2 linked regions of the Macaca fascicularis genome follow. Each later gene encodes a partner of the first gene's protein in a complex. Links are inferred from orthologs where the notes say so. Each region holds a gene or a part of one and is shown on either strand. Other genes may lie near its edges.

What was found.
Region 2: the proteins of RPA1 (region 1) and PRIMPOL are in contact, whole or in part, in a crystal structure (PDB 5N85), measured with the Homo sapiens proteins. The link is inferred for Macaca fascicularis from reciprocal best matches to the Homo sapiens genes RPA1 and PRIMPOL. Residues at the interface, in NP_002936.1 of Homo sapiens: Arg31, Pro32, Ile33, Thr34, Thr35, Arg41, Arg43, Leu53, Ser54, Ser55, Met57, Asn85, Leu87, Lys88, Arg91, Arg92, Val93, Tyr118, Asn119, Glu120; in NP_001332824.1 of Homo sapiens: Asp514, Asn515, Gly516, Ile517, Asp518, Asp519, Tyr521, Phe522, Leu523, Glu524, Ala525.

What each region holds. Positions count from the first base shown.
Region 1 is NC_088390.1:1,991,816-1,995,632, forward strand, and holds part of RPA1 (replication protein A 70 kDa DNA-binding subunit), read left to right. Parts: intron 1-3; coding exon 4-196; intron 197-349; coding exon 350-489; intron 490-987; coding exon 988-1,136; intron 1,137-3,817. UniProt on the Homo sapiens protein: As part of the heterotrimeric replication protein A complex (RPA/RP-A), binds and stabilizes single-stranded DNA intermediates that form during DNA replication or upon DNA stress.
Region 2 is NC_088379.1:189,457,886-189,461,702, reverse strand, and holds part of PRIMPOL (DNA-directed primase/polymerase protein), read right to left. Parts: intron 3,518-3,817; coding exon 3,392-3,517; intron 2,927-3,391; coding exon 2,764-2,926; intron 1-2,763. UniProt on the Homo sapiens protein: DNA primase and DNA polymerase required to tolerate replication-stalling lesions by bypassing them.

The sequences.
Region 1 (3,817 bases):
CAGGTGTATTATTTCTCGAAAGGCACTCTGAAGATTGCTAACAAACAGTTCACAGCTGTTAAAAATGACTACGAGATGACCTTCAATAACGAGACTTCCGTCATGCCCTGTGAAGACGACCGTCATTTACCTACGGTTCAGTTTGATTTCACGGGGATCGATGACCTCGAGAGCAAGTCGAAAGACTCACTCGTAGGTAAGCTCATGCATGGGACGGAGGAGCAGGGAGGACTCGCTTTCTTTGCACCGTACGGGGCGGTGTCAGGACTTCAGTGCTTGCCCTTCACCCTTTGCTGGCGTCAGAGTGGGAGCCTTGAACGCCTCCTGCTCACACGCGCCTGTGTTTTAGACATCATCGGGATCTGCAAGAGCTACGAAGATGCCACTAAAATCACAGTGAGGTCTAACAACAGAGAGGTTGCCAAGAGGAATATCTACCTGATGGACACATCTGGGAAGGTGGTGACTGCCACGCTGTGGGGGGAAGATGTAAGTGCTAGGATGGGGCGGTCAGCACACACAGGAGGAGCTCCTGGCGGGGAGGCGGTCTTGTCCTGTAGGATGGGGCGGTCAGCACACACAGGAGGAGCTCCTGGCGGGGAGGCGGTCTTGTCCTGTAGGATGGGGCGGTCAGCACACACAGGAGAAGCTCCTCGTGGGGGTGATTTTGTCCTATGAGTTGGGAGCTTTCACCGTGTAGATGGGAAGGGTTGTGCTGTCTGGCAAATACTTGAAATCCTTTATCTTCCGTGAGATTTGCTGTGATTCAAGCTTTACGTGGGGAAACGCTCTTTCCCCCGACTCGAGGAAAGCGGTGATAGTTTCGATGTGTCTCTGAGCAGATTCTCGTGTGTGAGGTCTGTCTTGTATAAGATTCCGTGTACACTGATTACATTCACTCTACTATTGACTGCCTTGTTTCCTATAAAAACCGTCTCTGTTCTTCCTGCCAGTGACACTTGTCTATGTCTGGTGTTTCTCTTACAGGCTGATAAATTTGATGGTTCTAGACAGCCCGTGTTGGCCATCAAAGGAGCCAGAGTCTCTGATTTCGGTGGACGGAGCCTCTCCGTGCTGTCTTCAAGCACTATCATTGTGAATCCTGACATCCCGGAGGCCTATAAGCTCCGTGGTTGGTAAGTTTTGTGGGGCTAAACAAAGGGTTACTTGAGGCTGGGCTTTGAGAAAAGCTGGTTCCGGTCAGTATGTGAGCTCTGCCGAGCAGAAGGCTTCGTTACTGAGTGGTGCAGCTCCTGTGTTTCTGGGAGGCGTTATGCCTTCCGAGAGGAGGGCTTTAAAGTCCTTAAACTGACAAACCTGTCCTCCCAGGACAAACCTAGAGTCGGAGGAGGCAATTAGAATGTGAGTGCTGCCTGCTGACCTCGATCCTGCCACAGGAGGGGACGGCCAGGCTTCAGCAGCTGTGCGGAGTGCTGAGGGCGCCTTGCTTTCCAGGGCTTCAGCTCTGGGCCTCGGTGGTGTGGGGGGAACCCACGCTTTCTTTCTCTGTCAAGTCTTTGGTGCCGATCACATCTTCTAGTGTGTATTCACTGGACTCTGATCAAGTGTGGTGAGAACAATGGGCTTTTTGTTAGGATTAGATTGCTATTCCCAAAGCACTCAAGGGATGAGGAGAGCCTGTTAAAATCTCCTCACTGTATCTAGCTTTTCAGGACATTCAAACTCTGTCTTAAAAGAGTGCTTCAAACCGAAACACGGGATGCAAAGATTGATGCGGGCAGGGAAAACACTTCGCCAGCCCGAGCTTCAGTAATTCCTGTAGCTGTAGTCACGGGGGATGTGCGTCGGTTTCCAGCTGTGTCTTAGGATTTAAGCAACTGAAGAATGAGCTTATTTTATATACTCCTCCTTTGTTTTGACTCATTTGAACCAATGGCACTGGTGTCTGACCAGTTTCCTGAGCCATCTTCTGGAATGTTCAGTCACTAAGCCATCCGCACGAGCACTGTGGGCCACACGTGTCTGCCGCACTGCAGGGTCCGTCCATAGTCTGACCAGAACTAGCCACAGATTTGGTTTGTTCTTGTTGCTTGATTTTCTTTCGCGCTCTGAAGCTCCACTCCAGGTTAATTGCATTCCCACATTAAGGTCTTCATATTTTACTTGCCAGTAACCATGATCCTAGTCAACATAAAAAGCACGGCTGTCCCCAGAATAAAATAACTTGGCATTGATCAAAGACAAGTTCAGTGCACACACGCTATCTGGACAAGGATTAGAGATGTTTAGATCTTGGCCATAACAATGTAGAGTTTTTACTGTAAGAAGGGCCACCTCTCTCCTTGCTCTTGCTAGTCACCACTCCTGACGAGTGGTCTTTGGTGGCAAATATGTCCTTGGAGCTTTCGAAACCGTAAACTTGTGTAGCTAGTAGTGGAGAAACAGATTTATGGGCCTTGCTGTGCCCCTGTGAGGGATTTAGCCGCTGACCTGACAGGAGAAGGCAGTTGTCTGCAGCTTAGGGCACCATCCATTCTGTTCGATGGTCTCTGTTTCGGGAGCCTGTTCTCTGTGCAGTTACCCACCGTCGGATGGTGTTTGGCATATGCCTTTCATCTCAGGCCGGCTCCTCTCTGCCGCAGCTGTGATCCTGAGCACTTTCTCCTTGGCCCCTTTTTCTTCATATCAGTTGATGTGTGATCAAGAAGTACAATCAATTTTCATAATCTAATACAAATTAATTTAACTTTAGTATTAGCAAAAGTAAAATTTCACTAAGAAAGTAAATCTACAAGAAAAAAGATAATGCCTTCTGATTAGTTGCTCTGGTTTATAAAATCTTTTGGACCAGGCATAGTGGCTCACGCCTGTAATCCCAGCACTTTGGGAGGCCAAGGTGGGCAATTGTTTGAGGCCAGGAGTTCAAGACCAGCCTGGCCAACATGGTGAAACCTTGTCTCTACAAAAAACACAAAAATCAGCCAGGCGTGGTGGCACGTGCCTGTAGTCCCAGCTAACTCGGGAGGCTGAGGCATGAGAAGCACTTGGCAGGAGGTGGAAGTTGCAGCGAGCCAAGTTGGTACCACTACCCTCCATCCTGGGTGACAAAGCAAGACTCTGTCTCAAAACAAAAAAAACCACTTTTGGCTTCTGTATCAGGCATAGGAGGCCTTTCATGGAAACCCTTTTGCTATCACGGTATATTGACTGTCCCTCTCCATACTGATACTTTTCGGGAAAGATCAGAATGCAGCTGCTGGCTGAGAATGAGCATTAGTCGCCTAAAGGACTAGCCCAGACGGCCACTTTATAGCTTACTGGTTGTTGACTTTCCCGGTTTCTGATTTTAGGCCTGGGGTGGTCCGGCCACTGCTGATAGGCAAGGCTAGTTTAAGAAAGGATTCTTCGGTACTTTGGCAGTGATTCTCTTCACCACTGGGGGGCATCAAAGCAACTGGGATTCAAAGAGAGGTCATTCCCTTTCTTCAGTAGACTTTGGGCCAGGAGCATTGCCTCACGCCCTGAAATCCCAGCACTTTGGGAGGCCAAGGGAGGAGGAATGCCTGAGTCCAGGAGTTTGAGCTCAGCCTGGTCAACATAACAAGACCCTATCTCTAAAAAAAAAAAAAAAAAAAAAATTTTAATGGGCCTGGGCATGGTAGTCCTGGTTACTTAGCGGGGCTAAGGTGGGAGGATCCCTTGAGCTCAGGAGGTCAGAGCTGCCTTGAACCGTGACTGTATCATTGCACTCCAGCCTGGCTGACAGAGTGAAACGCTGACACCATTTTTCTGTTTAATTTAAATATTTTAAAAAAGAGAGAATTACGAAGATACTGACTTCAGCCGAGGTGACCGT
Region 2 (3,817 bases), on another chromosome or scaffold:
AGCCTTTATTTCAAGAAGTAAAATACCTGGTACTGACTTGGAATACACAAAAGACAAGGTGACTGTATTCAGTAGAAGAACCCTCCACCTCTGTAAGATTCGTATTTAAACTGCGAAAGAAACGGGATTGGGTAATCGGGAGATTACCTGCACTTCCGGCTGTAGTTGCTTTTCTCGTAGGAGCTAGAACTAACAATGTTGCTTTTCGCACTTCTCCATAAGTGGTAGAAAGAATGTGACCTTATTCTGGTGCCCACAGGGGGTGGCAGGAAATATACAATTTGTACACTCCTGCTATGGCACTTCCCATTTTCAGAATCTCAGATACTACTACCGCTACCAACAACATTCACTGAGCAGATGCCATGAGCTGGGCACAGCTGTATATGTTTTATATGCACAATTTTAACTTTTTAAATGCTCTCGACAACTCTATAAGGTAGGTGTTAGTATCATTTCCATTTAAAAGTAGGAAACTCAGACCTTACTTCTGAGACATGTTATTAAAAGAACTCAAAGAGTACAAATATATATATGAAGAAAAACAATCCATCTTCCATCCTCCTGGGTAACGGCTGTTAACTGTATAACCTGATACAACTATCCCTACAGCACTGTATTTTAGACAATTACTAAAATTAATTTCCAGAGAACTTTTCCTTAAAATTATATTTAAGTGGCCGGGCATAGTGGCTCACACCTGTAATCCCAGCACTTGTGAGAGACCAAGGTGGGCAGATCACTTGAGGTCAGGAGTTTGAGACCAGCCTGCCCAACATGGGGAAACCCTGTCTCTACTAAAAATACAAAAATTATCTGGGTGTGGTGGTGCACACCTGTAGTCCCAGCTACTTGGGAGGCTGAGGCAGGAGAATCGCTTGAACCTGTGAGGCAGAGGTTGCAGTGAGCTGAGATCACACCACTGCACTCCAGCCTGGGCCACAGAGCAAGATTGTCTCAAAAAAAAAAAATTATATTTAGAAAGGCAAAAGGAAAAGAATTACGGCAAGGTGATGGTAATTTAGTCTGAACCTTAACCATTTTTTGGGCTGAAAAAGTTGCCAGCCTAGAAAAATGGGGAATGAAGGCAAATACAGTAAGTCCTCATTTAATGCCATGGATAGATTCTTGGAAACTGCAACTCTAAGAGAAATGACATCTAGCAGGTCTTTGAATAATGTTCTTTTGTTCAACATCATTTCCTTATAACGGCAGTCCCCAACCTTTCTGGCACCAGGGACCGGTTTCCTGGAAGACAATCTTTCCACGGGTGGGGCGGGGGCGAGATGGGCTGGTTTCAGACTGAAACTGTTTCACCTCAGACCATCAGGCATTAGATTCTCATAAGGAGTGTGCAGCCTAGATCCCTCCCACGCACAGTTCACAGCAGGGTTTGCACTCCTATAAGAATCTAATGCCACTGTGGATCTGGCAGGAGGCAGAGCTCAGGTGGGAAGGTGGCTGCTCGCTCGCTCGCCTGCTGCTCACCTCCTGCTGTAGGGTCCAGTTCCTAACCACAGACCACTGGTCTGTGGCCTGGCGACCACTGCCTTATAACATGGATGAGAAAAAACAACTGGATTCATCATACATCACTTTGTTTAAAGTTCAGTTTCCAATAACTTATCAACATCAAATGATGACTTGTTACAGTATTTCTGTTGAAAGATGACTTTCACAGATTTTATTTTTTTTAATTTATTTATTTTAGTTTTTAGCAATGGGGTCTCACCCTGTCACCCAGACTGCAGTGCAGTGGTGCATTCATAGCTCACTGCAGCCTTGAACTCCTGGGCTCAAGTGATCCTTCTACCTCAGACTCCTGAGTAGCTGGGACGACAGGCATGTGCTACTGTGCCCAGCCAACTTAAATACTTTTAAAAAATGAACGAAACATGGGAACCTAAAGTTTCAACAATAGAACTCACAATAAATTCCAGAGTGTCAATATAATGGAAATTTTACACAGGCATTAGAAGTTTTATTTACAATTAATTGTTGGCAAATTTTTAACAAATATTCATAACATCAAGTAGAAAAAACAAATGACAATCATCTAAATAATAATCTCAAGAATATTTTTTGAATAAAGGAGCTATACAAATTATATGTATGTGCATACATGAAAAGAAAATGAGGCATTTAATAGTAAAATATTTCCAAATGCAATACCAGTAGTACTGTTTTCTTCTTTACAGAAGTGATAATCATTTTAGAAAAATTGGAAAATATACTAAATATAATCCTAAAAAGATATACAGAGAAAATTAAGTGTTCAAATATATGTTTTACTATTATCTTTTAGCTAATGGAGAAAAGAGAAAGGTTAACTTAGAACTGTAAGAACTGGCTGGGCGCAGTGGCTCACGCCTGTAATCCCAGCACTTTGGGAGGCCGAGGTGGGCAGATCACCTGAGGTCAGAAGTTCGAGACAAGCCTGGCTAACATGGTTAAACCCCATCTCTACTAAAAATACAAAAATTAGCTGGGTGTGGTGGCGGGCACCTGTAGTCTCAGCTACTCCGGAGGCTGAGGCATGAACCTGGGAGGCGGAGTTTGCAGTGAGCCGAGATCATGCCACTGCACTCCAGCCTGGGCGACAGAGCAAGACTCTGTATTCAAAAAAAAGAGCGGTAAGAACTGACTTTTTCTTAAGGTAGAATGAATTTAGATGATTTACATTTTAGTAATACACAATGCCATTCACTGTTTAATAAATAAATATTCATGAATACAAAATGGTTTGATGCTGCTACTACATACCTGACATTGCTGACCAAAGAAGAGAGAAAATACTGATATTCGTCAGAAACATCCTTTGATGGTATAGGAAAAAATGTGTTATCTTCAGTAACCTCCAAAGCCACACGCTTTCCTATTTTTGATGATTTATATAGCCGAAAGTTTCTATTTCTTGTATAAACTCCTACATCAAAAAGTAATAAAACAATATGAAAGCATGTTTTCTGTGATTAGTTTTATGGTCAGCAAATATTCAATTTTTATATAGCATTAATAAAAGAAATAAGTATTTTCTACATGTAGCTGTAAACAAAATAAACAAAATTAAAGCACTATATAAATTAAAATAAACTGCAGTCAGCATGGAGGAATGCCACATTCTGAAATAGCAAACTCAATTATTCTGCAGCAATTCTGCAACTGAAACAAATGGAAAAGCTGGATGCAGGTATTGGAAAGTTTGAGACAACCAGAGAGCTTCTAAGACAGTGAGGTTGTGCCATGCCAAATCCCAGAGAAAAGGGAAGGACCAAAATCAAACAAATATCTAGAATAAATCTAACAACATATGGATAAGATTTCTATTCAGTAAATTATAAAACATTATAGAGAAAAATTAGAGAATCCCTAAGTAAATAGATGGGCCTACCATGTGCATAGATTGGAAGACTCAGTATTATAAAAATGTCAACGCTCCCCAAGTTGATCTGTAGAGTCGAGGCAATCCAAATAAAAATTCTAGCAGGATTTGTTTGCATAAACTGGCAAACTGACTCTAAAATTTAAACAGAAGTGCAAAAGCTCAAGAATAACCAAGAAATTCCAAAGAACAAATTTGGAGGAATTGTTTTTCCTAGATATAAAGACTTACAACAAAACCGTATTAGACAGTGTGGTGCCTATCTAATATATAAAACTATATTAGACAGGAATAGATCAATAGAACAATGAAGCAGAACAGGGTCCAGAAACAGACCAAAATATATACAGTCACTGTATACGGCAAAGGTGGCACTGCTGAGCAGTAGGTAAAGGACAGTCATTTCAACAAACAGTGCTGAGCCAACTGGATATT